7 linked regions of the Mus musculus genome follow. The protein of the gene in region 3 interacts with the protein of the main gene of each other region in a pairwise test. Links are inferred from orthologs where the notes say so. Each region holds a gene or a part of one and is shown on either strand. Other genes may lie near its edges. The genes, in order: Birc7, Dtx3, Ube2k, Rnf114, Dtx3l, Mkrn3 and Rnf125.

The links.
Region 1: the proteins of Ube2k (region 3) and Birc7 interact in binary tests that used the Homo sapiens proteins (3 or more experiments, as listed by UniProt). The link is inferred for Mus musculus from reciprocal best matches to the Homo sapiens genes UBE2K and BIRC7.
Region 2: the proteins of Ube2k (region 3) and Dtx3 interact in binary tests that used the Homo sapiens proteins (3 or more experiments, as listed by UniProt). The link is inferred for Mus musculus from reciprocal best matches to the Homo sapiens genes UBE2K and DTX3.
Region 4: the proteins of Ube2k (region 3) and Rnf114 interact in binary tests that used the Homo sapiens proteins (3 or more experiments, as listed by UniProt). The link is inferred for Mus musculus from reciprocal best matches to the Homo sapiens genes UBE2K and RNF114.
Region 5: the proteins of Ube2k (region 3) and Dtx3l interact in binary tests that used the Homo sapiens proteins (3 or more experiments, as listed by UniProt). The link is inferred for Mus musculus from reciprocal best matches to the Homo sapiens genes UBE2K and DTX3L.
Region 6: the proteins of Ube2k (region 3) and Mkrn3 interact in binary tests that used the Homo sapiens proteins (3 or more experiments, as listed by UniProt). The link is inferred for Mus musculus from reciprocal best matches to the Homo sapiens genes UBE2K and MKRN3.
Region 7: the proteins of Ube2k (region 3) and Rnf125 interact in a two-hybrid assay, tested with the Homo sapiens proteins (2 studies listed by BioGRID and IntAct). The link is inferred for Mus musculus from reciprocal best matches to the Homo sapiens genes UBE2K and RNF125.

The regions. Positions count from the first base shown.
Region 1 is NC_000068.7:180,927,626-180,931,822, forward strand, and holds the start of Birc7 (baculoviral IAP repeat-containing protein 7 precursor), read left to right. Parts: upstream 1-1,397; 5' UTR 1,398-1,521; coding exon 1,522-1,888; intron 1,889-3,179; coding exon 3,180-3,279; intron 3,280-3,633; coding exon 3,634-3,712; intron 3,713-3,793; coding exon 3,794-3,839; intron 3,840-4,197.
Region 2 is NC_000076.6:127,192,910-127,197,036, forward strand, and holds the start of Dtx3 (probable E3 ubiquitin-protein ligase DTX3), read right to left. Parts: upstream 2,801-4,127; 5' UTR 2,785-2,800; intron 2,659-2,784; exon of another isoform or gene 1,963-2,658; intron 1,899-1,962; exon of another isoform or gene 1,773-1,898; intron 1,726-1,772; 5' UTR 1,501-1,725; intron 895-1,500; 5' UTR 850-894; coding exon of another isoform or gene 822-849; coding exon 821-821; intron 449-820; coding exon 1-448. UniProt on the Homo sapiens protein: Regulator of Notch signaling, a signaling pathway involved in cell-cell communications that regulates a broad spectrum of cell-fate determinations.
Region 3 is NC_000071.6:65,592,745-65,596,244, forward strand, and holds part of Ube2k (ubiquitin-conjugating enzyme E2 K), read left to right. Parts: intron 1-1,675; coding exon 1,676-1,804; intron 1,805-2,130; coding exon 2,131-2,205; 3' UTR 2,206-3,500. UniProt on the Homo sapiens protein: Accepts ubiquitin from the E1 complex and catalyzes its covalent attachment to other proteins. In vitro, in the presence or in the absence of BRCA1-BARD1 E3 ubiquitin-protein ligase complex, catalyzes the synthesis of 'Lys-48'-linked polyubiquitin chains.
Region 4 is NC_000068.7:167,502,054-167,506,242, forward strand, and holds the start of Rnf114 (E3 ubiquitin-protein ligase RNF114), read left to right. Parts: upstream 1-1,389; 5' UTR 1,390-1,405; coding exon 1,406-1,548; intron 1,549-4,189. UniProt on the Homo sapiens protein: E3 ubiquitin-protein ligase that promotes the ubiquitination of various substrates. In turn, participates in the regulation of many biological processes including cell cycle, apoptosis, osteoclastogenesis as well as innate or adaptive immunity.
Region 5 is NC_000082.6:35,936,228-35,940,226, reverse strand, and holds the start of Dtx3l (E3 ubiquitin-protein ligase DTX3L), read left to right. Parts: upstream 1-1,199; 5' UTR 1,200-1,349; coding exon 1,350-1,533; exon of another isoform or gene 1,534-1,757; intron 1,758-3,599; coding exon 3,600-3,850; intron 3,851-3,999.
Region 6 is NC_000073.6:62,417,354-62,421,574, reverse strand, and holds Mkrn3 (probable E3 ubiquitin-protein ligase makorin-3), read left to right. Parts: upstream 1-1,421; 5' UTR 1,422-1,533; coding exon 1,534-3,168; 3' UTR 3,169-3,982; downstream 3,983-4,221. UniProt on the Homo sapiens protein: E3 ubiquitin ligase catalyzing the covalent attachment of ubiquitin moieties onto substrate proteins.
Region 7 is NC_000084.6:20,971,364-20,974,863, forward strand, and holds part of Rnf125 (E3 ubiquitin-protein ligase RNF125), read left to right. Parts: intron 1-2,935; coding exon 2,936-3,092; intron 3,093-3,500. UniProt on the Homo sapiens protein: E3 ubiquitin-protein ligase that mediates ubiquitination and subsequent proteasomal degradation of target proteins, such as RIGI, MAVS/IPS1, IFIH1/MDA5, JAK1 and p53/TP53.

The sequences.
Region 1 (4,197 bases), on a different chromosome or scaffold from region 3:
AGGGGCTCTCTCTAGCACAGGCTAGCACAGAACTTACTATCTAGCTCAGGTTGGTCTTGAACTCACAAAAATCTTCCTGCTTTATCCCCATGAGTGCTAGGACTGCATGCATGAACAGCCATGCCTATCTTACAATGTCTCACAAGCTCCAACCCCTCACCATGCCTCCCAAGACTCAACCTCTAACTGAGGGACTATTGACAGTTGGCAGCTTCTGGAAAAGGGAGGGTCAGTTTTCTTTAAGGTTGTGGCCCTTGGTAGGTTGCCCATGCTCCTGTGGACATCCCCACACCCATAAGTATATGGACACCACAAACCAGACTCAGTGGGTTATACATTAAAAAAAAAATAAATAAAAGGACATGAAGTTGGAGTGGATTGCTTTTTTTTTTTTTTTTTTTTTTTTGAGACAGGATGTCCTGGGTGTTCTGGAACTAGTTCTGGGGAGGCTGGACTCAAACTCAGAGGTCTGAAATTTTCAAAGAATTAATAAAAATATTATATATATATATATATATAAGCTCCCAATATTAAAAGCTTCACAATCAGTGAAGAGCGACTCAAGGGTAAAGGTTTGAGCAGAAGCCTGGGAATTACAGTGCGAGCTGCAGCAGAGCTGGCCCCTTGATCTTCTCTGCCTCTTCCAGGGGTCCCAAGGACTCTTGTTTTACCAACCTATAGCTGTGGCTTCTCTGGGGTGATGATCCTCCTCTCTGTTCCCTGTTTTTTTGTGTGTGTGTCAGTCGAATCCCTCACCTGGGGCTGGTTAGTGAAGACCAGGTTCTGGGGCAGAGCTCATTTAGGGAGGCAACATTCCATGTGACAGTGCAAATGGAAATGTCTGGCCTGGAACAAATACCATCCAAACCTTGAGCTCCTCCAGACAAAGGCCAGGGCACACCCTACCCTTGATTTGCCTCTAGACTGTCCAGACAGATAAAGAGCAACCTGAGACCAGATGGGTGGACTGACCCTGACTCAGGGCTGAGCCAAGCAGGGACCTCTCCTCAGTGCTGGGGACAAGATGAGCGGGTGATGAGGTCATCCCTGAACATCAGTCAGCACAGGCTTGGTAAGGAAGGATTGGTGGGGTTGCATAGTGTCCTGGACAGCCTAGCTTCCTACCCTGCAGGCCCCTGTCTGGGTCTATCTCCACCCAGAACTAGACCCTAAGTGTCTGGAATCTCTCTCCTCTATTTTGTCCATGTTCATGACCTGTTTCCTGAGGCTTAGGGGATGCCATTGGAGGGGTCCCAAGCTTGGTCCCTCCCCCTATTGAGAGATGCTTTTTGCCTGGTGGCGTACTGCCTTTGTTATGTGCCTGCCAGCAGGCCCCATGACACGCTGCAAAGAGCATGTGGCTGCCCTGGCCTCTCTCAGAAAGTGGCTCATTCCTGGACACCGCCACTGCCTCTGAGCATCTAGCAGCTTGCAGTTAGAAGCAGGAACACCACAGCCTCTGGGAAGGACTAGAGGCAGGAGCTGGAACGGTACAACACCAGGCACATTCCTGGGCTGGTGATGTTCTCACCTGCAGACTTATTCAGAGCTGCTGTCTTTTCCATGGGGCCTGAGAGTAGGGCCAGGGACTCGGTCCGTGGCCCAGAACTAAGCCACAGGGAAGATGGCAGTGGCCGCACACAGGAACAGGATAAACCCCACTGTCCGTGTAACCATGTCCTGGGCCAGGACTGCCTAGATGGGCAGATCTTAGGCCAGCTTCGGCCTCTGTCAGAAGAGGAAGAATCCTCTGGGGCTGCCTTCCTTGGGGAGCCTGCCTTCCCTGAGATGGACTCAGAGGATCTCCGGCTAGCCTCCTTCTACGACTGGCCATCTACTGCAGGGATTCAGCCTGAGCCATTGGCTGCTGCTGGGTTCTTCCACACAGGTAAATGTTGGGGTCTTTTTTACTGTGGTCTGAATGCTACTTAGCACTCTTCCAGGCAAACGGTTTTGCCCATTCTTGCCCTGAGGGAGGAACTAATAAAAGGTACTCCTGTCATCCTTGCCTGGTCAGGGCTAGACCCACTCAAAGCCACTATGAAATTCTGGGCTTATGCTGGCCTTGTTCTGAGGGCCCTTGAGGGGTCTGCTGGCTTGGTGGTTTCACCTGGCTTACACGGCTCTGAGGATTTCTTCAGGGATGCCCAGTCATCAATGCCTTTCAGGTTTGGTAGATAGAGCTGATTAATCCCTTTCATCCCTTAGCCCAAAGCGACAAAACCGGAATCTATTCTACTGGGGCAGGGGCCAGCTTAAGCATCCAGTGCCCATCTTGTAGGTAATCTCTCAGGCTTCCTAAGTACCTGGTTAGTGCAGGGACCAACTCCAGACAAATCCTTTGAATACCTGTTCTAGTTACAAATGTAGACTACTCCTTGAGCTTGGTCTGCTCTCATTCCCAGTAGGGCTCAGGTTCTGGCTCTGACTCTTCCTGGCTGAGGGAAAAGGAATCAGTGAGCCCAGCCGAGCATAGCCAGAGAAATTGTCACCAGTGGGCCTAGCAGGGGAGGAAACAGTCATTCTCCTAGCAACGGCCAGGCAAGAGTCCATACTGATTTAGGACAATCTGACACTGGTTATGAAGGGTCAATGTCTGGAACAGTTAGAGCCCCCTTGAAAAGGAGTCTCTTTGAGGCCAACAGATGTCATGGGTATTTTGTGGACCGTGGGTACCTGCTGTGGGATATGCCTGTAAGCAATCCTGTTTGGAACTTCTGCTCAAGGTCATGAAGGACACATATTCCTATGGCTGGGGGGGGAAGGGCACAGAGCAGAGATGATTGAGGCCTGAGCCACTAAAACCAAGTCTGTCTATAAACTGGTATGGAAGGGGTCACCTCCTTATCCTGTAACTAGAAGTCCTTCTTGGAGGCCCTGACACTCCCAGGCTACAGATGCTCCAAGCCTTTGGCTCAACCCTACCCACATGCTCTGAGAACAACACAAATGCTAGCTCGACCTTTCTGGAATATTCTGAAGCCCTCCTGACACATGCCCCAGGGCCATTGTCTTTATTTGCCTTTGAGGCAAGAGAGGTGTCCATGTGCCTTGCTCCCTTCTTGTTAACCTGCTGGCAGATTCTAGTCCTGCCTGTCTAAGCTTTGATGGTCATGGAGGGACACCCTGGGGTTGCCAACTAGGTGGGGCTACCAGCTATGTGTCTCTGCCATACCTAGGCCAGCAGGACAAGGTGAGATGTTTCTTCTGCTATGGGGGTCTACAGAGCTGGGAGCGTGGGGATGACCCCTGGACAGAGCATGCCCGATGGTTTCCCAGGTAAGGGCCCTGTGGGCTACTGCAGTTCTGACTAATGAGAAGGGTCCCAAAGAACTCTGTATAGCCTTCCCACCTCCCATGTTTCTGAGACATCAGGATCTCTCTAGGGCTGCTAGGGTAGGCACTCCCCTGTTGCTGCTATCCTTTCCAGGTGCACACCTAGGTATTCGGAGCCCAACTCCAGACTAGCCTTACTAGCAGGTGCCCATGGGGATACAGCCCTGACTACCTGTCACAGGAAGTAATGGGTTCCATGGGCACAGAAGGCATGCCAAATCCCAAAGGCTTGCAGGGCTCGAATGTGACAGTGGGGCTCTAAGAGTCCAGTCCTGTCTTCTGAGCTCTCTTCTCCAGGTGTCAGTTCCTGCTACGGTCAAAAGGAAGGGACTTTGTGGAAAGAATCCAGACCTACACCCCTTTGCTGGGATCCTGGGTAAGTCCATCTGTCCTCAGGACCCAGGTGGGCTGGCAGTCTCTGCTTTGCTTACTTAAGGCACCAATGGCTCTCTAACAGGATCAGCGAGAAGAACCAGAAGATGCAGTCTCTGCCACTCCCTCAGGTGAGAGAGCCTAATAGCCTTTGCTGTTTAGTTGGTGTTTGCAGCCTGCACGTAGGTCAGACTGTTGAGTGTCTCCACCTGCCAGTCAGCAGAGAGGGTGGGGTCTGTGCCCACATGTTGTGTTCAAGGTAGTGAATCCCCTTGCTCCTAATGAGAAGGCTGCTAAAGACACCAGCCAAACCTGGGCATGTAGTTGTGTGTGTGCTAGGCTATGGTTCTGCTGGGTACGAGCCACAACAGCAGCTGCTGCTTCTCCTTCTCTCTTCTCTTCTCCTTCTCCTTTCTCCTTTCTCCTTTCTCCTTTCTCCTTTCTCCTTTCTCCTTTCTCCTCCTCCTCCTTCTTCTCCTTATGGTTTTT
Region 2 (4,127 bases), on a different chromosome or scaffold from region 3:
GGGAGTGGAGGGGGCAGGGGAGGAGGAGGAGGGGGTAGCCCTCTTGCCCCTGGGGGCAGGAGTGGGGCTGCTCGGAGGGGAGGAGGGCCTGGGCGGTGCAGCTCGGGGTGTTCCCCTCCACCCCCCAAAGCCAGGCAGCCCATGAGCTCCCCCTGCCTCTGGGCTTTCTTTAGCTCTTTCTCTGCCTCTTTCAGTAGCCCCTTGAGAGCCTTCCTGGCCAGGTAGAGCCCATTGGGAGGGGCTGGGGGAGGACCCTGTGGGGACAGCTGGAGCACGTAGATGTCAGAAGTCTCGCCATCTATGAGGATGGACACCCGATGCTCCTCCCGAAGCCGGGCCAGCCGGGCTGGGGTCTCCTTGCTCAGGAAGTCCCACACAGGCTTGGAGACAGTCACTTTGTTCTTGCAGGAGCCTCCACAGGCTGCCATTCTGGACAGGACGAACGACACTGCCCCCAGGGTGAAAGGGACTCAGAGTGGGGAGTCCCCATTTGACAGATAAATGTGCCTCTTACTTCAGGCTCCTTCTGAACCCCCTGTGTTACCTCTGTTTCCCTCAAAGCCAACCCCCAACACTGCCCACAAACCGGTTGGTTTTCTATCTCCACTTCTGTCCCATAGCCCAGCACCCTCTGGGCACAGGTTTCCATATTTCATCGTTATCTAAGCCAAGCACCAGCCCTGCTTGCTTCTTTCATTTCTCCCCTGAGCACAACAACCTGCCCCTTCTCCCCAAGATGGAAAAAAAAAAAGGTTCCTCCAAGGGAAGGAGGCTCCCCACCCCTACCCCACCCCATCCCACCTCCGTTTGCTTTGCTCACTTTGATCCGGAGGAGCTTAGAATTGGCATGCAGGCTCACTCTCCTTTCCCCCTGATACCTGGAGATCCTGTGGCCTGGTGGAATGGGAAAGAAAAGAAAGTAAGGGGGCTGGAGAGATAGCTCGGTGGTTAAGAGCACTGACTACACTTCTAGAGGTCCTGAGTTCAAATCCCAGCAACTACATGGTGGCTCACAACCATCTGTAATGGGATCTGATGCCCTCTTCTGGTGTGTCTGAAGACAACAAAAGTGTACTTATAATAAATAAATAAATAAATAGATAGATAGATAGATAGATAGATAAATAAATCTTTAAAAAAAAAAAAAGCTGGGCAGTGGTGGCGCTTGCCTTTAATCCCAGCATTGGGAGGCAGAGGCAGGCGGATTTCTGAGTTTGAGGCCAGCCTGGTCTACCAAGTGAGTTCCAGGACAGCCAGGGCTACACAGAGAAACCCTGTCTCAAAAAAAAAAAAAAAAAAGAAAAGAAAAGAAAAGAAAAAAAACAGGAGGAGGAGGAGGAGGAGGAGGAGGAGGAGGAAGGAAAACTATTCCCCAACCCCAAAGCCCCAACTCAGGAGCCCTTGAAATGGCCAGGAACCTGGGGTAGGGGTACTGGAAATGGGGATTTCTTGGAATACAGGAGGAACCCGAAAGCTGAGGTTCTCCTGGGGCACGGGTACCTGAAAAGACCACAGAGACGAAGGTAGCAGAAGTCCCTCCACCTCCACCTTCAGCTGGCCAGAGCTGGAGACGAGGAAGGTAAAGAGTTATGATAGCATTTCCTCAGCCAGCCCAGACAGAAAACGCTCTTCTAGTTCCTCTCCTCCCCTGCAGAATCCTCTCCAAGTTGCTCAAGGAACTTCATCAGGCTAATTCCTCTTTTCCCCCCAGTGCAGAGGGAGATCCTAGATGCAGATAAAGACAGGAAGGAGAAAAAAAAAAAGGGCCTCACAGGATGAAGGTCGTACACGCCACCTCCCTCAGATTACACTGACAGAAATATCTCCTAAACTCCTCGCTTTACGTTCTCGAATAGTTCAAGTCCCTGTTGTTGACAGAGACCTTTCCTTGAGAGCCGGAAGTCTGTTAGGGATGCCAGCAAAGTGTTAGCAGTCCCGCAATAACAAAGTTCTCATTGTCACCTTTAAACCCAGTGCCCGCAGAGCTGCTGTCAGCTGCAAATCAAGCAGGAGCTTGGCTAGAGGGACCCGAGGTTTTCCCCTGAGCCCTGTCACAGCCCAGCTCCAGGGCCTTTCCCACAACACAAAGTGCAGCTCAATTAGGAAGAGGGGCCATTCATGTGACCTCAATTCCTTGTGATCCAAAAAGAAGCCTCTGTCCGTTTGTGCCTCCATCATAGGGTCCTTGAGATGAAAACCTAAGCATCTCAACCCGCATGGTCTGTGCACGGTGAAATGCCCCCTCCCCACCAGAGAGAACCCAGGATCTAGGTGTCCTAGCTCCAAGTCCTGCTGGCACGGCACAGGGAGGCGGGGCCACAGTTTAGTCTGGGTCTAGCATTCCTCTGGGGCAAACCAGGCCGGACACCAGACCAGCCTCTTCCTCCAGACAGCGGCCGCTGGCAGGGACGGCGAGAAAGGGCAAGGGTCCCCTGGGGAGGTGTCCACTGAGGCACCCCCCACCCTTCTCCCCGAGACTGCCCCCGGATCCATCCAACCCGAAACCAACTCCCGCATCCCTACTCGAGGAAGCCCCGGAGTCCCGCCGCTTGGTGAGGGTGTGTGTCCACCCGACTGCGGCCCTCAGAACCCCCAAATGGAGGCCAGGGCTGAAGGTGCGGGAAAGATGATGGGCCCGGGCCCCGAGGGCGCCCTCTTCTCCCGCGGCGCGCGCGTGGGGGTCCAATGGCGGAGGAGGGGGCGGAGGGAAGCGGGGGGCTTGTGAGGGTGCGGACCCGGCCTGGGGGGGCACGCGGTGGGTGTGGGGGCGCCGGGCTCACCTACCTCTCGTCAGCGCCGCCATTGCCGGTCACATGACTGAGGCTGTTGCTGGGATGACGGTCCGGGCCTTAGCAACAAGGGGCGGGGGGGTGGGGGGGAGACCCTGAGAAGGTGGAAGGGGATGCCGGGGTGCAGACCGAGAGAAAGGAAGGGAGAGCACCCCTCCCCTTGGTGGGTGATAATCACCGTTTCCTTTGACCCCCTCCTACCCGGGAGCCCCTGCCTCTGCCCCAAAACAAAAATGGAGGCGCAGTTCCAGTCTTTGGAGGGAGGGGTGGCGTCATGTAGCCGAGGGTAGGAGGTTAAATCCCTTAGAAACGCCACTCTCTTGGCTTCCCCCTCCCGGAGGAGACCTCTCCCCACTTCTTTCCCAGCCAACTGCGTTGCACTCTTAGGAACTGGTAGGGGTGGGAGCAGTGTCGGTGGGTATATAGATTGAAGGGGAGGGAAATTTTTTTGAAGTCTTACGCTGGAATATGTTGGATGGGAAGTTTAAAAAAAAAAAAGGAAAACATTGGTACTACAAAATAAACCCTGTGACTAAACTACTTCAATCCCCTCCCTCAACTCTTGCCTCCTTCCAGACTGTTACCTCCGGTGACCCCCCCCACCCCCAACCCTCGCAGCCTGTTACCAGAAGTGGGCTGGTGACTAGTTTTCCACAAGTAAGGACACTGGTCTGTGCAGAACGTGAGGTGGATAGATCCTTTAAAAATGGCTCAGGGTGGTGTTAGTGTCAAGTACATGGCTCAAATAGAGTTAAAAATTCCCAAAGAAAAAAAGCTCTGCTCCGCTCTGCTTCCCGTCAGAGCTGTCTCCGCCTCCTCCAGCTCACTTCCCTGGGGCTACATCAAGCCAGGTTTTTCCACCAGCCAAGAGACCTCCTCAGCCAAGAGAAGAGGTACTGACTCTCCCAGACTAGCACCAACCACGTCATCCACCCCTCTCCATCCCCTCCCCCCTGAACTGGAGGACTGGTCACTCCTTCACTTTCCCAGGACCCTGCTGGACTCTTCCTGGCCTCTAAGCAGATAGCTTTCCCAGGAAGTCTGCGTGAACAGAGAATTCCTTCCCACAGAGCTGGTACCCCAAGAGGCCCACTAAAGTTAACAGATGGAGGAGCAAGAGCATAATGAAGACAGACACACCATCCCACTCCCACTCTGGCCGCCACAAGGTTGGCGACTATTTTCCCGCTCCCATGTCCACCCCACAACTCCAAGTCCACAGTCATCTTAGAACACCCCCCCCCCACACACACACACACATACTCAGGAGCCCAACACCTTGAAGACCAATATTTTTCAGTTGGACTCTGTAACTCTTAAACATAGGATGGGTTACTC
Region 3 (3,500 bases):
AAAACATGAATGTACATCAAATAAAAATAATTTTTTAAAATGTTCTTTCTTTTTCATAATATTTATTTATTTATTTAAAGTATATGAGTACACTGTAGTTGACTTCAGACACTGGAGAAGAGGGCGTCAGATCACATTGCAGATGGTTGTGAGCCACCATGTGGTTGCTGAGAATTGAACTCAGCACCTCTAGAAAAGCAGTCAGTGCTCCTAACCACTGAGCCATCTCTACAGCCCACCATTGCTTAGAACTACAGCTTTTAATAGTTTGCACATATGTGCTATTAATATTTGGTAGCAGAAGTCTTTCTTGAAGTTTATCTTTGATTTTCCCACAAATTGAGATAAATTGAGACATAAAATAAAGGGTGACTTTTGAAAAAAAATTATTTATTTTATGTACATTGCTTCGATGTATGTCTCTGTGAGGGTGTCAGATCCTGGAGGTACAGGATCATGTGGATGCTGGCAATTGAACCCTGGTCCTGGAGTAGCAGCTGTCCTCTGGTTGCCAAGCCATCTCTTGGCTTCCATAGCTGATTTTTAACACCTAAAATAATGTTTGTGTTGTTCGTTCACAAAGTATTGCTTGAAATATATTAGGTAATCATAGTAATATGGAGTAGCCTTTTAGTTTGGTACTCCATAGGTAGATGTTAGTGGAGCTTTACATTTGAGCCAAGCCTGAACAATGAACAAGATAAAGATAGCTGGTTCTAGGCTAGCCAGGGCTACATATTGAGAACTTTTTTGAGAGAAAGCGATGTCGAAGGGAGAGGAACAATGAATTACCCAGTCCCTGCTCTGGGGCTAGAGAGCTGGGTGGCTCAGGTGAGGGGTAGTTCTTTGTTATCATTCTGAGAACAGAGATTAGGTCCTAGCACCCTCACTGGGCAGCTTCCCACTGTCCTCTGCTTGCCTTTCCTGAGCACTTCCACATGTGTGCATATACACAAGCATACATAAGTTTAAAAGTAGCACTTTGATAAATATTGAAATGAATTGACATCATTACTTTATACTCTGTCTTACAAGTATTTTTACAATGAATTTACCTCACCCTTTTCCGGTTTCATATGGCAAATCTTTATCTAGTAGGGCTCTTTTGTAGGTTTTTAAGTTGTCTTCAAAAGTAATGTAAGTTAGATTGTTTTGAGTGTTGGGTTTACTTTGATGACTATACAGTGCTGCATAGCTCTAAGGGCATCTGCTGCCTCAGCTTGAGGTCTGCCTAGTAGCACAATTGATTGTATATATCAGTCAGTGTTAAATTTATCAGCTAATGTTCATGTAACATTACATGCTACTGATTTTGTTGTGTAATTTTCTGTACAGTTATTAGAACATTTTTATAATGTTTATTTAATATTAGATGTTTGTTTAAAGAGTATTAACTCTGTTTTTTATTTTCACAAAGCTTCATTTCTTGAATGACATTTCTGCAATGGAAAAAAAATCATCTTTTATGTTTTGGCACATGGAGTGCTGGTAATTGAATTTCTGAACTTGAGCTTGTTACTAAGCTAATACGTACTACTAGTGATCTCTGCAGGCCAGCCCAAATGAGTTACATTCTAAATATAAATGTCTTTTCTTTGGAACAAGCAAGTCATAGTTGAGCAGCTATGGTAAATCTCACTGTACTGTCTTGTTATCTGCTTTTCCCTCCATATAGTACAAACAGAATCCTGAAATGTTCAAGCAGACAGCTCGACTTTGGGCACACGTGTACGCTGGAGCACCAGTTTCTAGTCCAGAATACACCAAAAAAATAGAAAACCTCTGTGCTATGGGTTTTGATAGGGTAAGTACCGAAAAGACCACCCTGCTAAGCATTAGGACACTCTCGAGTTACGAGATTTATCCCCATTTAAAGGTGGTGACCTAATCAGAGCTTTCTGTCCCTGTCACCATCCAGAGGAATTGATTTCACTCCCCATTTTAAACCCGGGCTCCCAGTCCTTGGGAGAAGGGGACTAGCCATTTTGAAAATGTAGTTTTGGTTAATCCTGTATAGACGCTGCAATCAGTGGTGACTGTGCAGTCATTGGTAGAGGGAAGAACGTGTGACTCTGGCGAGGAGGATTTGGTTTCCGTGGGATGTGATTGCTCTTGTCCTCCTCTTTACAGAACGCAGTAATAGTGGCCTTGTCTTCAAAATCATGGGATGTAGAGACTGCAACAGAACTGCTTCTGAGTAACTGAGGCACAGGAGCTGCGCCAGCATCGCTCTCGCCTCTTGAGGAGCATCAACACCTGTTATTTTTAGGATTCTGCATAAAGTTCTTTTAAACTGGCATTCTTGCCTAATGATGTTACCTAGGCACCATTGGAGACTGCAAAAAAAAAAATTCCCTGCTCTGTAAATAAAGCTAATTAAACGTCTGTGTAAATTTAAAAAGGGGAAATACTTTTAATTTTTTTTCTTAATAGTGTAAAAATTCTTTGAGCTAAGCTAAAACCATGGGAAAACATGCTACTTTAGTGTTTAGCAGTGTAACAGACTCGAGAGTTTGCTTCAGGGTTCTGTTGACTAACTAGGATAACACTCGAGTGTCGGCCCTTCACATTGTGGTGTAGAATCACAGCTCCCTTAAGTCTGAACACAGATCCTCTGTGCCTGTGAATTTACTTGCATGCTTGTACTTGACTTCTTAGAACGGGTAGCCGAAAAGACCACCCTTTTAAGCATTAGGACATTCTTGAATTATGAGATTTATCCTGATTTAAAGGTGGTGACCTAATCAGAGCTTTTTAGTCCCTGTCACCATCCAGAGCGGAGATTCTCATGGTCAATTTATTTTGTGTCTTGTGGGAAACGTGCTGAGGAACAGTGTCCCTTGTTCCACTTTTAGCTCATAGGTTTGGAATGTTTTGTCCGAGTTCTTCACTTTGTAAGTAGTAATGTAAAAAGGGGCTGCCAATTTTATTTCTCTCACAAAAGGAATAAATACTTGATGTTGCAGTATTTCTAGATTTAATAAAAGGACACTGCTTAGTTTTTCAGTGAATTTGACATTAATTTTTAAAATGATAAAGTCTTTGGAAACTTGAAGGGTGCAGTACCTGTTCCCTAGTGCTCAGCCTGACAGTTTCCTTTGTCAGACACTTGACTTACTCCTCCTGCTCCCCATGGTGACCCATGAAAGCTGTGCTGTCTCACTGTATATACCAGATGCACATAGGAACAGGGGTGTATTCTAAATCTAGCTTTCTTTATGATGTTTCTGATAATGTGAGAATTGAAACTTTACCTTCTCTTGTACATAAACTTCCTGTCCTTAGCAACTGTCGCATCTCATTCTATCTTCCAAAGCTTGACAATTATAAGTTTTACAAACTCAAATACTTCCTTTAACCATCCTAATTAATGTTCAAGTGAACTTAGGCAGTTGTTACATAGGAGATACAATTAAAAATTTTGAGGACCAATGCATAGATTACAGAAATGTAATGGAATCAGACTAAATTAAAGTAAGGTTGTATGTATATTGAAAGTC
Region 4 (4,189 bases), on a different chromosome or scaffold from region 3:
ATTTACTTAATAAAGGAGTACCTTGCCGGGTGGAGGTGGCACATGCCTTTAATCCCAGCACTCGGGAGGCAGAGGCAGGTGGATTTCTGAGTTCAAGGCCAACCTGGTCTATAGTGTGAGTTCCAGGACAGCCAGGAACCCAGAGAAACCCTGTCTCGAATCCCCCAACACACACACACACACACACACAAAGTGCCTGTTTTCAGCCACACCAGAAGAGGGCATCGAATCCCATTGCAGACGGTTGTGAGCCACCATGTAGTTGCTGGGAATTGAACTCAGGACCTCTGTGAGAGCAGCCAGTGCTCCTGACTGCCGAGCCATCACTCCAGCCCCTGAAGTGCACCTTTTTAGAAGCACCTATTTTGTTTGTTGCTTTGGTTTTTGAGAAAGGGTCTCTTTTGCAATCCAGGCTGACCTCAAAGCTCAAAACATTTTGACTTCTACAGGTGAGTATACCACCCCGTATCCCAGGCTAGCCTCAAACTCACTATATTGCCCGAGATAGTTCTGAACTTCTGATCCTCCTGCCTTTATTTCTCAAGTGCTGGGGATTCTGAGTGTGGACTACCAAATATGACATATACACTGCTAGGGATGGAACCCAGGAGCCCGTGTGCCATGCTAGAGGAGACCTCTTCCTTGGTGGCCACACCCCAGCCCTGGACGCAGTGCTTTCCAGATAATCAACTCCTTGTTGATCTTGGACTCAATCACTGCCAGTACCCAACACCTGCTGGAACTCTTGGTCTTCAAGGTACTGGCTGATCGCGCACAGTCCAGTGACTTCCTGTTATACTATACCTCCTTCAGTCCAAGCCTCTGTCCTATTTTATTTTTCCAGGCCACGTACAAGCCATAGGAAAAGGGCAATAAATATGTCTAGAAAACTGGAAAGGTTCACGGAGGTGGTATCGACCTAACAAGCCACGGGAGTTTGTGAGATACACTTGTACCCCGTTAGCTGTGCAGGCAGGAAGTCCTGCCTCCTCCTTTCCGGTTAGGAAAGACGCTGAGAAATCAGATCAAATCATCTGGCCACACCTGGTGGTGCAGACTATACAGCCAATTACTTGGTAGGCTGAGGCAGGAGGATGGAAAGTTCAAAGCTCAACTGGGCAAGTTGGTGAGCTAGCTAAGGTCAACTGTAATAACAATACACATTCACGGTCTGAGTTCCTGTGGGTGAGAGGTGTGGGCTCAGTGTGGCTGCGTCCTCTAGGCTCTCCCCGGGACGCCATCTACACACCTGGTGGGCGGCAGCTTTCAAAAGCTCCAGGGGGCGAGGGGGCGTTGTGGACTCCGCCCATCTCAGCCCCTAGCGCGTGCGCAAACGACGGCGGCCCCGCCCCCAGCCCCCCTCGGCGGCTCTTTCTCTCTCAGCGCGACGCTCCTCAGCGGCAAGATGGCGGCGGCGCAGCCGGAGTCCCGAGATGGAGCCGCGCAGTCGGCGAAGCCGGCGTCCGAGACGGACCCCCTCAGCCGCTTTACGTGTCCCGTGTGCCTGGAAGTATTCGAGAAGCCGGTGCAGGTGCCCTGCGGACACGTGTGAGTGGCGGGCGCCTGCCGGGTAGGGGTCGCGGTGCGCAGGCGGCGGGCGGCCGGCGGCGTCTGACGAGGGAGCACAGCGGGCCCCCTCGAGCCTCGGCGTCGCGACTCACCGGGCCGCCGCCGGCGCCTCCGAAGTGCGCGGGAGGCCGCCGGGCTAAGTATGGACAGTGGGCCCCGGGCTAGGCTGGAACAAGAGGGAAGTGCCGGGACGCTCGGCCGTACCCGCGGACCGGGTGTGGGGTGCTCGCTCGCGGAGGCCGCCTCCCTCGGCGTGAGTGAAGCCCGGTGTCGCGGGCCAGGCTGCCGCAGCCGCTTCAGGAGTTGAGCGAGGGCGGCCTGGGCTTTCCCTGGCTCCTGTGACCGCTTAGCGGGATTTGAATCCCATTCTTGCACATTTCAAACACACCGTAGCCGAAGAGCCTGAGGATGCTCGACCACGTCCCTCCGCGGCCCCGCCCACTGCCGCTCACCCAGGAATCGGGCTTCCTGACCCCCCCCAACTCCAGCACCCTTTTTTGGGCGCACAGGCATTCCCGCCGCTGTCCTGTGAGTGCCAGCCTTTTTCCGGGTGAATCAAAGTGCAAGTGTCAAGGGTCGCTCATTCGGGCCAGCGTCGCCTGCCAGACCGTCCCCAGGAGCGAGGCGGGGCCTTCCCAGCACTGTGGGAGGGATGCCTGCAGGGACACTGGGCTCCTGCCAGCTTGGGTTCAGGTACAGGTAGCCGTTACCGATCGCCCGCCGCCACTACTTCAGGCCTCCCGTCCTGATGACCTCCCTCACTTCTCTCTCGACTCTGCTAGCTTTCTCATTACACGGAGCAACATGTAGGGACCCAAGAAGAGAGTACCATGTCCTCTCTGTCCGATGATAAAAGCCGGTGTTCGGCACCGTGAGCCGAACCCAGACTCCCTCCCAGTCAGTTAACTGGAGTGTCTGCATGCCCTCTGTTTGCTGTTTTGGGATAGAGTTAAGAAGGCAATTTGGAACCGGGCGTGGTGTTGCAGGCCTTTAATCCCAGCACTCGGTCGGGAGGCAGAGGCAGGAGGATTTCTGAGTTCGAGGCCAGCCTGATCTACAAAGTGAGTTCCAGGACAGCCAGGGCTATACAGAGAAAGCCTGTCTCGAAAAACAAACAAACAAAAACCAAAAGAAGGCAATTTGGCCCTCGGGTTTACAGCTCAGGAGGTTGTTTGGTAAGTAGTGGCCAGTGAGATAGCTCAGAAGCTGAAGGCTCTTGTCACCAAACCTGATGACTTCAGTTCGCTCCTGAGGAGCCACATGGTAAAAGAATTGACTCCCACAAACTGTCCCCAGATTTCCAGCTGTCCTCAACGGCACACACATTCATATTTTTTTAAAGGAAATACTAATGACTGTTCAAACTATGGTGTATTCGGTAGGAGAGCACGTGAGGGCTGTTAACATTTGTGAAGAAACATGACTTGATTGAAAAGCACCAGGCTTTGAGGCTTCCTTGACCTTTTCCTACATCATAGGGCAAGAAGCAGTACCAGCATAGCAAACATAACCAGCCTCCGTACTCAGCAGATTGTTTGAAGTCAGACACACCTTGGTGAGGGTAGCTGACTTCTCTGAGCCTCCTCCAAGTGCTTTGGGCTCTGCCAACTTGATTTTTAATGTTTGCCTTTGAAGCTGGAGAGTCCTACAGCTGTGGTTGGAGCATTTGATTTTATGAAATTCAGGTCAAGCCCTGTGGCTACACCCTTTCAGGTCTGGAGGAGCGCAGATAACTTGATGCTAAAGAGCACTGACAGAAAGGCTGAACTAGTTGACTCCCATTTCTAGGAAGTAGAAACTGAAAGTCAGCTCCAGACACAGGAAGCTAGATGCAACCTCCTTGTAAGGGTATAACTCAGGCACGCAGGCTGTGAGCATCTGATAGACTGTTAAATCAACTGCTTTAATCTGTATGTTGGCTTGGATTCCTCAGTTGTCTTGAGTTGCTCTTGGGATGATGGGCTACTATAAAGGGCCTGCCCACCCTGCCTTGCCCTTTCTCTGTGTGATCTGCCACATCACTGCCCCAAAGGCCTTCCTTTCTATACTTGGCACACTCCTTCCTCTGTGGCCTTCCATTCAGTGTCATCTCAGAGGAACTCCCTATGCTCCACCTGCCAGGCTGTTTGTTATCCTTCATCACCGTATGAAACCACTGTTTTCTTCAAATACAGCATCACTCTGGGTGGTATACCCTTAATCCCAACACTTAGGAGGCAGAGGAAGGCAGATCTCTAAGTTAAGACCAGCCTGGTCTTTAAGAGTGAGTTCTAGGAGAGCCAGAACCAACAAACAGGACAAAAAAAAAAAAAAAGAGTTATAAGGATAGGGCATTTCCTAGTAAATAACTAGTCACCTCCCAGCCAGGACTAGAATTTTTGCCTAATAGAAACGATCAAGATTTCTTAAAAGATAGTGGGGGGGGGGTCAGTTCTGATACACACACACACACACAGAGGCACACACATATCTCCTGGTCTTTTCCAGCAGATTTTGTTAATGTAACCATAAGTCAAAGTAGTTTGGTAGTTTAGTGTCCTGTGCCTTAGTAGCCTTCTTGTGCTGTGAGCCAGCAGGTGCCCCCTCTGCCTCTAGATCATGGTGTTTGAGTTTCTTGAAT
Region 5 (3,999 bases), on a different chromosome or scaffold from region 3:
AAGGATGTCTGGATAAAAATCTGAAGCTCTGGGAAATCGCACTTTCTCATGATTTTAACCTAGTAGCCTAAAAACTAAAATTATGAAATGTTAGACTCATGACTAACACTTACAATAGTCTCTGGGATGATCTGTAATGTCTTTGCAGTAGAAAAACACTGTACAACACGAGAGCACAGCTGGCCATGCCCATCCAGGAGTCACTCGAATACTAACCCCAAACTGGCCGGACAGGATCCGGGGAGCCTGCAGAGGGCAGTATTGCTTTCACACAAGAAAGACCTCTAAGGTTCCTTGGAGGCTGCAGCTGAGAGGTTGCTTTGGGGTGCACTTGTCTGTCTTGAGGCAAGCAGGCCAAAAGCAAAACTTCCTTTTTCCTTGTCCTTTTATATAGGCTGCTACCAGGACGCGTGACCCAGATTTAGGGCGGGTCTTCCAGTCTCAAAAGACCCAATCAAGAAAATCGCTCACAAGCACTACCCAGCTAGCTGGGGTTTTAGCTGATTCCAGACGCAGTCAAAATGACAACCAAGATTAACCATCACCTATGAGCTAAACTATGGTGTTAACCTTTAGAATTAACACACATAATCCCCACTTTATTTCTGTTGACGCTATAGATCTTACAGACCCTTCCTCTTCCTCTCCCTGGCCTGGAACCCAGCCCTCTGGACTTTAGGCTACTGCTGTCCCAGCCTAGAATACTTTCCTCCCCTCCCCCAACCCCTTAAGATACCTCTTGAAACCTGCTCTTTGGCTTTTGCTTTGTTCACAGGTACTGACTGCTTCTGTGCTCAGTTCCTCGTTACCTCCCTCTCTAGGGACTCAGGGAAGCAAGCCGATCTGTGCTATTCGCTAACTTAAGGCCCTCGAGCAGAAAATCCCTAAGGTGCCCAGCTAACAGGAAAAGTACAGGTCACCAAGCAGGTAAACTCTCTCCACTTGAAATCAGAACCGCATCTCAGTAAATACTAGTTACAACAATCATTTCAAAAAGTACAAACAGGTGAAACTCTTTACCCCTCTATTCCGCTCCACCCTTGAGAGGCCTGAACCTGGGATCCGGGTTCCCGCCAAACTTCCGATCCTGCAAGAATAGAAGGGCGACCTGCCACCGTAGGGAAACTTCCTCTGAGCGCCCACCGCCGAGCGTGCGAACTACTCACCGGGTGATGGCTCTGAGAGATGGCAGAGCAAGACAGGCGGCGGCTCTGCGGAGAACAAGGAGGGACCTTCTGGGGAATCGAAACTGAAACTTTGCCTCTCGGGTCTTTAGGGCAGGGCTCGCCTTTGCTCTTCCCTGTCTGTGCAGCGCCCCTGAGCCCCAAACGAGCCAGACGCGGATAGCCATGGCTTCCAGTCCCGACCCGCCGTCCCCGCTACTCGTACGGCTGCGGGAGTCCATCCCCAAGGCGCACAGGAAGCTCGAGATATACTTCCAGAGCCGGGCCTCGGGAGGTGGGGAGTGCTCTGTCCAGCCCGTGGGCCCCAGCGCCCCGGACACCTACGAGGTGAAGTTCCTAAAAAAAGCAGGTGAGCCGGGGCAGGGGAAACAGGGCAAGGCTCGGGTGCAAGGGTAGAACCAGCAGGTTTCCAAACCGATCCCTGCATGCTTCCGACGAGAGCCCACGCGAGTGTGGCTCTCTGTCTGTGGGAGAGTGCGGTCCACAGACTCCCTCCATCCCACAGTGGCGGAGAGAGCCTCGTATGAGTCCAGCCGCTGATGAGGTCGCGGTTCGACTCCATCTGAGAATTTCCCAGCAGACCCAGTTGAGAGAAGAAACAAAGTGTGGGGGTTGGGATTGAGGAGGAAATCCAGAACCTTGTGCACGCTAGGCAAGTGCTCCACCACCGATCTCGACTCCAAGCCATTTTAATGTTGTAAATAAAGATTCCGTTGACTTATTTTTAAGGACTACAAAAGTAATATATGACTTTAAAGAGGAAAGTCAAAGAAAAATTATCTGAAGATAGTTTGGTGGGGTTTGGTTTGGTTTTGGTTTTGGTTTTTGGTGTGTGTGTGTGTGTGTGTGTGTGTGTGTGTGTGTGTGTGTGTGTGTTTGGTTGATTTTAGAGACAGGGTTATTCCTTGTATCCTTGTCTGTCCTGGAACTAGCTCCATAGGCTGACCTCAAACTCGCAGAGATCCTCCTTCCTCTACTGGGATTAAAGGCAGGTGGTGCCACACTAATGTCCTCAATGGGGGCATTTTCATGCATTCTTTTCTGAGAGTCAGCAAATGAATATACATTCTAAACTTTTTGATCTTGTTTCTTTTGGGGGGCCGGGGGTTTCACCATTTAACTATACAATAACCATTATTCAATGTCATTGAAATGAGAGATTCAAAACCATTACAAAACATAGGTTTCCCCACCACCACCCCTTTGAGACAGGATCTTGCCATGTGCCATTGGTTGGCCTTGAACTCATAATACCCCTACCCCTACCACTACCATTTAAGTGCTAGATTGTGAGTGTGTACCAGCATGCCCAGACTAGAAATGTGATTTCTAATAACCAAATTATATTCCTATGCTAAAACTTAAGCTCCCTTCTTTAGAGTTCTGATTAGCTTCTCCTATCACCAGCCTGCTATTCCAGAATGCCAGAAATAACTGTTCAGGTCCTCTGTATGCATTTGACCAGGAGCCTACAACAGATACCACCAAGGGCCAACTTGGTGAACCAATGCATTACTTATTGCATTGGTATTGGTTATTGGATTTACTTACAGGAATATGGGAAACGACTCAAAGGCAACTGCATCACCAAAGCCCACCTAGCATGGGTGACAGCTCACAAAGCTGGGAACCTGGAGCTCACTGCACACCTACAGGCAGCTCAATAGGTTAGGGAGTGTTCTTTCCAGGTGGCTCAGTTGGTCTAAACTTCCTCCTAAGTGGAGCTTAGAGTTCACTTCCTGCAGGCAGCTTCTCTGGTGGTTTAAGTTTTCTTCACAGCTTGTTTTGTCTAAGAGTCTCCTATGCAGACCTTTAATGAGTCCTCACAGCAGCTCTGTTCTGGGAGTCTCAGGAGGACTCTTCCCAACAGTCTCTATTGTTTATTCATTCAGGGAGGGGCCTATGAGTCTGGTCAGTTTCTGGGATTTCCTGAAGCTATTTTGAGTTGTTTACCTTCTTGCTTAAGGAACTTCTTTGCAGGGTGGAATGTTTCAGTCTTGAGAAAATTTACACAACAGTCCCATACCCTATGGTTTATTCAAATAAAGTCTATGGAAGGCGAACCAATGCATTTATAGTAGTGGCACATGCCTTTAATTGTAGCACTCTGGAGGCAGGGGCAGGCAGATCTCTGTGAGTTCAAGGCCACCCTGGTCTACACCAGGAGTTTCAGGACAGCCAGGACTACCTAAGGTCTCAAAAACAAAAAATAAAACAAAACAAAAAAATGAACAACTAAAAAGCATATGTGAGAACATGGGTAGCTTATGTGAAAGTCCTAAGCTTATTAGGGACATCTCTGGAGGTAGCATGCTCAGACGTTTCTAGAATCAACCTACAGGGATACTGAGGATCAGCTATGTAAATTCTCTCTTATTTCTGTGTGAATGTGTATGTTTAATGTCTCCCCTGAAGATAAGGAGAAAGTGTTGAAAAAGAGCGAACACGAGATGTTGGTCCATAACAAACCTGTGACCATTGTCCTGGAAACTACTAAAAAGCCAGTAGAGGACCTGAGACCCAGACTCCCATCCTTGACACAGCCAGTGGAGACACCAAGCTCCAGACCTCCGTCCTTGACGGGGTCTCTGGATGAAGCACTTTGTGATGACATACATCCCCAGGACGGGCTCGTTTCTAACTCTGTTGACTCAGTTGTCCAAAAGGTGAGTGTTGACAGAGGAGCTGATGCTGCCCTGGCATCTGCTCCTCCCTTCCCCTCGGTGTTTTCGGGCAGCCTTGTGCACCCCGGACTGTACAGGGAGGAATGAAGCTTAGTTGGTACAGGTGGATTAGCAAGATCTCAGCCAGCCTG
Region 6 (4,221 bases), on a different chromosome or scaffold from region 3:
ATCTGCTAGTTCTTACTTAGGTCTTTTATAAATTAGTGGCACTAAAAACATCTCATTGTTTTGAGGTTTCTTATTACTTAATGTCAGTTCTTTTGAAGTATGTGATGCTGGAGATCTGAGCCTTTTATTATTTTCCTTCATAAGTTACACAAGAAAAATTTTGCCTATTCTATTGTTCTTATTTCATGTTTACTTTGACTTCATCCCCCCTTATCTATATTGTTTGATTATGTTCCTCTTATCTTGTTTTATCGTTGTTGGATTTATTTAGTTGAGACTTATATTTTGAGTTGGATGATTATATCATATGCTTTCAGAGTTTTTTAACCTTAGGTTGTGAGACTCCTTCCAATAAAATTATTTTTCTGAGCATAATTTCATTTTTTTAAATAGTAAATAAAATATTTGAAGCATTGCTAATTCAAGTTAGTGGGTGAGGAAAGGAAGAAAGCATGATTATTACTAAAAATAAAAACCCACGTAAAACTATACTATAAAATTTAGTATGCCACTGTAGTAAGTACATGTAGCAGTGTAGAACTACATATAAAATTATTAGCCCAATAGTATATATCTGCAAAATGAAAAGAAAAAGAAAAAGAACTGGCTCAGTGCAGAAATGGAAATGAGACACTTTGGGGTGCAAAGAGGAGCTGGTATTATGAAAAGCTCTGTAGAGCAGAATGGGATGAAAAGGAAGGCAGGGAACAAAGGGTCTCCGAATCCAACCAACAGAGAAAAGTTAAAGCCTGGGTCATTCTCAGACCTTGCCTTATTAAGTCTTCATCAGGGTTGGGCAAAGTCCAGGCTTCTACATTGTTGGGGGTCCGGGAGAATGTAACAAAGGCAGGAAAGTGAAAGGCTCTGAGTAGCCTCGGGGCAGGGGATTCCCTCCTAATTAAAGTGCACGCAAATTAACCCTTCAAGGGAAAAAAAGACCCAAAGAATCCTGTCAGATCTACAAGCATTGAAGGAGAAACGCTTTGGCAGGGACACTGTCCGATCTTAAAAATTAGTAGCCTATAAACAAACGACAGAAGAAACTGAAAAATAATTTTTAATGTGAGTGAAATGTTTTATGTTCAAGCAGCAGACGGTAAAGGCAATGTGTGTAGCGTTTTCTTAACACACACACACAAATAAACTGCAATGTATACAACTGAAACCTGGAGAGTTTAAAACATCAACCTTGAGGGGAAACACTGTGGAAACGGGGATTGGGGGGTTCAGAGTCGCACTTAGAAAGCCGGCAGAAGCCCATCCCAGTGTCTCAAGCAGAAACAGGCACGCGAAAAACATGGCGGAAGCAACTTCCGGTGAAGCCCTAGGAATGGTGTTACAACCGGAAGTGTCCGCCTGCCTGTAAACAGGTAGGAACTAAAGTTTCCAGGGAACGGGGAGCAGGTGGGAAGACAAAAATCGATGCACTTCGCTCCGAGAAGAAGCTGGTCGAGCCATCTCCAGCTCCGCAATTCAAGCACAAAAAAGATATAATATTCGGGTTTTTGGACAGTGTTAGAGGCACGCTGTAAGATGGAAGAGTCTACAGCTCCCATTGAGGCCCACGCGGCCGCCGGCGCCGAGGCAGGTGCTGAAGGGGGGGAGGGTGTGTCTGTTCCCCCCCCTCCTCAGTTTGAGGCTGCTGGAGCTTCTGCGGGAGTCAGCTCGGCCCCTCTGCAGCAGGCATCGGGTCTGGCACCGCTCCTGGTGACTCCAGGCCCAGCGATCCGGCGCGCGGCGAGTTTGAGGCCAGCGCCAGCCGAAGGGGGCGGGGCCCGGTCTGGTCCGGAGCGCAACAGTGGCAGCTGGACGAAGCAAATCCTCTGCAGGTATTATCTGCATGGGCAGTGCAAGGAGGGCGATAACTGTCGCTACTCTCACGACCTTTCTGGGCGGCGGAGATCTAGGGGGGGGCAAGATGCTCAGCCTCGGGCCTCTGCAGACAGAGGACCCAAGATGGCCACTCGCTGGGAGCCCCCGACTCAGGAAGTGGCGGAAGCCCCCCCTGCTGCATCCTCAAGCTCCTTGCCTCTGATTGGCTCGGCTGCTGAAAGGGGCTTCACTGAAGCTGAGATTGACAATGCAGGCATTCGCTCAGCTGCTGAAAGGGGCTTCTCTGAAGCCGAGATTGACAATGCAAGCCTTGCAGCAGGTGCTGCAGCGGGAGCGGGTGCAGAAGGCTGGGAGGGGGCAATTGAATTTGTTCCTGGACAGCCTTACCGAGGTCGCATGGTCCCCCCGCATGGTCCCGAGGCTCCTCTGCAGAGCCCGGCAATTGAGAGAGAGCATATGGCTATGGGCATGGGGATGCCGATGCCAGTGCCAATGCCAATGCCAGTGCCAATGCCAGTGCCAATGCCGCTGCCGCTTTGCCGCTATGCTGCCCGGGGACAATGCCTCCGTGGGGACAGGTGTGCATACCCCCATGGAGAAATATGCGACATGTGCGGGCAGCAGGCCTTGCACCCTTGGGATGCAGCTCAGCAGGAAGCTCATAGAAGGGCCTGCGTTGAAGCACACGAGAGAGATATGGAACTCTCTTTTGCTGTGCAGCGCAGCATGGACAAAGTGTGTGGCATCTGCATGGAGGTGGTCTATGAGAAAGCTGACCCCAGCGACCGCCGCTTTGGCATTCTTTTCAGCTGCAACCACACCTACTGTCTTAGGTGTATCCGCAGGTGGAGAAGTGCCACACAGTTTGAGAACAGGATCAGTAAGTCCTGCCCACAGTGCAGGGTCTCCTCTGGCTTTGTCATTCCTAGTGAGTTTTGGGTGGAGGAGGAAGAGGAGAAGGAGAAACTTGTTCAGCAGTATAAGGAGGGGATGAGCCAGAAAGCGTGCAGGTATTTTGCTGGAGGCCTAGGTCACTGCCCATTTGGAGAATTCTGTTTTTACAAGCATGAATACCCCGAGGGCTGGAGAGATCAGCCTCCAAGACCAGATGGTGGTGGATCATCAAGCGCATACTGGCATCAAGTTTTGGAGCCTGTGCAGTTGCGAGAGGGAAACGTGCTGTTTAAAAGCCGTAAAAAAGAGCATTCTGTGCTTCGCCTGGCCAATCAGTTGCTTAAGAAGTTGCTTTGCCTGAGAGGCAGTTCTTCCTTCTCTGATGACCGTTGGCTCTTGCTTCAGTACCAGCTGGAAGAATATTTCAGTTTGAATCTGTAGTATCACGCTGTGGCATGTGGTCTGGTCTGCTAAAGCTCTGTTGTCTGCTGTTGCTTATTCCCCTTTATTGACTGAAAAACCCTATCGCTTTCAAAGGCTACTGAGGCAATCTTTATGCAGTATTGCTGTTTTCTTCTCTATTTCCTATTTCTTCTTGCTAGGATTGTGATGTTTCTCTGTGTTACAAAATAACAAGAAATCTTATAAGTATTGTTTGGTGGAATTAATATTTCTGTCAACTGATGACTTGTGATGTCTTTTTTCCAACAGGATTCAATCACTTCTAGTCTAGTGTTTACAGTTTCTCATTGTGAAGTCCCTTAAGAGTAAATGTGACAAGGTGACAAAAGTCTTTAACTGAATTATGAGCTTTTTGCTATATAGCCTTAAAAAAAATGGACCCTTACAGGACCTTGCAGCTGCTGTCTGTGTTTGTTTACATGTTTGTTTCTTCCCTTCTCTTTCAAGTGCACTTGTTAACTTGTGGTTACTTTGTGGTTCTGTTTTACTTGACCAAAATGAGGTGCATATGTTTACATGTTTTTATCCTGTTTGGCTTGATGTGAAATTATTTATATTTGGAAATATATATTTAAGAATGATATATATGCGTATATGTATACAAAGATGTATTTGAAAAAAACTGGAAATAAATATACACCATAATATATATGTTTGAAGTATTGAAATAAATGCAGAACTGAAAGCCCAGTGTTAAAGTCCAAGTGTGTGGGCTGTATGTGAATTGTGTGGATAATCTGCCCCTGCACTGATGTCAGTGATTAGCATCTAATAAAAATGACTGCTAAGTGTGGATCTGACTCTTTTTTTAATGGATTTACAAAACATGACTTCGAAAATTCCTACAATACCATTAACAGCTTCCTGGTGTTATAATAATGAAACAGTGCCTCACATGAAGTTACCATCTCATTTTTCTTGACAGAGACAATTCCTGAACTTAAACATAGAGTTGTTTGTTTTTAATATCTTAAAAATCTGGTTATTGTATAATTTATAAGCAAAGAACTTTTGAAAAAAGGTTTTCAAAAT
Region 7 (3,500 bases), on a different chromosome or scaffold from region 3:
CTGATGAATTGCTGCAATTGTTCACAGCCGTAACAACACCACAACCCAGATCTAGGACAGTTAGTTCCTATACACTGACAAATCGCCTCCTGTCCTTTGTGGTCAATTTCTGTCCCTATGGCTAGCCCTGTCAGCCCCATCTGCTTCTGGAATCAACTTTGGGAACATGCAGCCAGTAGCCCTTTGACTTTCAGAAGGGGCATGGATTTTATTTTGCCCATCTTGTCTCTGACACCATCAGGAATCATTTGCTGGTGTAGGGCCTTTTGAGCCAGGGTCTCATATAGCAAACTCACTAACATAGCTAAGCTGACCCAGAACTCCTTCTCCTTCAATCTCTGGACTTCTGAGATTACTGGTATGTACCACCTTGTCTAGTTTATCCAGTGGTGGGGCTGAGGCCCAGGGCTGAATGCAGTGCAGGACAACTGAAATAGACTCCTAACCTAATGTTAGATTTTAGAGACAAGATCTCATATGCCTCTAGCTAGTCTTGAACTTGTTCAGGCTCATTTTGGGCTTCTGATCCTCCTTAAACTTCCTAAGTGTTAGGGTTACAATTTTGTGCTCCCACACCCAGCTTAAGGCACCAAAGTTTATTGAATAGATGTATTATAAACTTAAAGGTACTTAGCCTTGGTCCTGGTTTATGTTTGAGAGAGATCTCAAGGGCTGAGAGTGTATATTCTTGAAGAGTACATATTGCAAGTGGTTCAAACATTCAACTAAAAATAATGTCTTTTTTCGTGGTACTCTGGATCAGGAGCCAGGCTGGCCCTGAGCTTGTGTGATTTTCTTGGGTTAAGGCTGATCCTCTGCCTGCTCGTCTCTCTCAGCACAGCTCCGACTATGCCCTAAGATTCCTGGCTGCCTTTCTGAATGTCAGCCAAGAGCAAGCAGTTCCTAGAACGTTGTATTTTTTTGGTTTTGTTTCCATTCGGAGTGTTCTTCTCTAGGTTCCCTTATATGCTTACCATTGTTTTTTCTGTTTGACTCTTGGAAAGGGGTTGTATTGTAGCCCAGGCTATCCTAAAACTTTCATATGTAGCCCAGGTGGACTGAAATCCCAAGTACTGGGATTAGACTGGTTCATTACTATGCTGATTTAATTTTTCCCCTCTAATTTGACAAAGAATCTACTCTTTTTTTTTTAAATCTCATTCTTCTACTTCTTATTCCCCATTGGTGTTTGTTTGTTTTTTAAGGCTAAACTCTACTCACTATAACTACTTACCTGAGGATTACCTTGATTTCTGTTCTCCCACCTCCCAAGGGCTAAGATTATATAGTCCTGCCACCATGCCCAGCTTAAAATCCCAGGTCTTGCCTGGTTAGCCGGGCATGGTGGCACATGCCTTTAATCCCAGCACTTGGGAGGCAGAAGCAGGCAGATTTCTGAGTTCGAGGCCAGCCTGGTCTACAGAGTGAGTTCCAGGACAGCCAGGGATACGCAGAGAAACCCTGTCTCGAAAAACAAACAAACAAAACCAGGTTTTACTAGACTGCATACTTCTGCAGTCTCATGTCCAGCTTCTTATAGAGTGAGACGTCATCTACCCCTACATAAGACATGTAAGCAGAGAATTCAGGTTGGAGTCATTGATGTTGTATTTGGAATGTTAATTTTTTTCTTTTAGTTGAACGTTTGAGCCATTTGTAAAAAAGTACTCTTAAACGAATATACTTTCAAGGTTTTACATGTCTTAGGGTTTCTATTGCTGTAAAGAGACACCATGACCAAGGCAATTCTTATAAAGGCTAGCATTTAATTAGGGCTGGCTTATTGGTTCTGAAGTTCAGTCCATTGTCTTTATGGCGAGAAGCATGGCAGGGTCCAGGCAGACTTGGCACTGGAGAAGCTGAGAGTTCTACACCTTGTTCCAAAGGCAAACATGAGAAGACTGACCCTTCTTCATTAATTGGAGCTTCAAAGCCCACCCCACAGTGACGCACTTCCTCCAACAAGGCCACACCTCCTAATGGTGCTACTTCCTGTGGGCCATGCATACTCAAACCAGAACTTGATGGCTCATACTTTTGATTCTAGCATTTGGGAGGCAAATTCAGGTAGATTCTGTGAGATTGAAGCCATCCTCATCTATATAGTGTGTTTTAGGCAAACCAAGAGTACACAATGAAACCCTTTCTAAAAAGCAAACAAACAAAATAAGAAAATACTTTAAGCCAGGTTTAGTGATGTGTTCTTGTAATCCCAGGTAGATTACATTACAGGCGGGAGAGATGTTAGTGGGAAAACTGAGATTCTCTTTTCAGATTTATTTCCTTCCTTCCTTCTTCCTTTCTTTCCCTTTTTTTTTTTCTTGGTTTTTTGAAACAGGGTTTCTCTTTGTAGCCCTGGCTGTCCTGGACCTCACTTTGTAGACCAGGCTGCCCTCGAACTTACAGATATCCACCGGCCTCTCCCTCCCGTGTGCTCAGATTAAAGGCCACCACTGCCCAGCTAGATAAATATACTTATTTTTATTGTATGAGATCTGTTTGCCATCTGCTTGCCCAGTCCCTGTGGAAGTCCTAAGAAGGCATCAGATTCCTGGGAAATGGAGTTAGAGGTGGCTATGAGCTACCATGTAGGTGCTGGGAATTGAACCTGTGTCCTGTGTAAGAACAATCAGTGCTCTTGACCACTGAGCCATCTCTCTAGACACCCTCCCATGCATGCTTAGTCTCATTCATAAAAGATTTTAGCCTGGTGTGGTGGCGCACACCTTTAATCCCAGCACTCGGGAGGCAGAGGTAGGCAGATTTCTGAGTTCGAGGCCAGCCTGGTTTACTAATTGAGTTCCAGGACAGCCAGGGCTATACAGAGAAACCCTGTCTCGAAAAACAAACAAACAAACAAACAAACAAGAACAGTATGAACTCAAGTGCTGAGCCCTATCTCCTGATGCGTGCATTCTCTGTTTCTTTTGAGTAGGTTCTGCCGATCTTGCATTGCGACCAGTATAAAGAACAATAATAAATGGACATGTCCATACTGCCGGGCATACCTTCCTTCAGAGGGAGTGCCCGCAACTGACATAGCCAAGAGGATGAAGTCAGAATACCAGAACTGTGCTGAGTGTGGAACTCTGGTGAGTAACAACAGCCATATTCATGGTTACAAGAAAAGGTTTCCAGGGAAACCTTTCTTTCCACCCTCTCCATCTCTCTAGCTCCTCCAGTGCTTTGGGGACAGTTTCTCATTCTGTAGCCCAGGGTGGACATAAACTTGCTGTCTCCTGCCTCTGCTTTGGAAGAGTCGGGATTGCATACACCTACCACCACATCAACGCCTTTAGTATTTGTGTGTATGCAGCACTAGAGATTGAACCCGCACACTGAATGAGTGTTGTACCAGCAAACCAGAGTCCCAGCCCTCATTTTTCAGAGTCATTAAGTTCCCTGTGCTAGCTATGAACGTAGTCTGTAGCCCCACCAACCTTTTAAATATCCTTTTTGAAACTTGGAAGTCTTACTTCATTTATCTATTTTCCTACCAC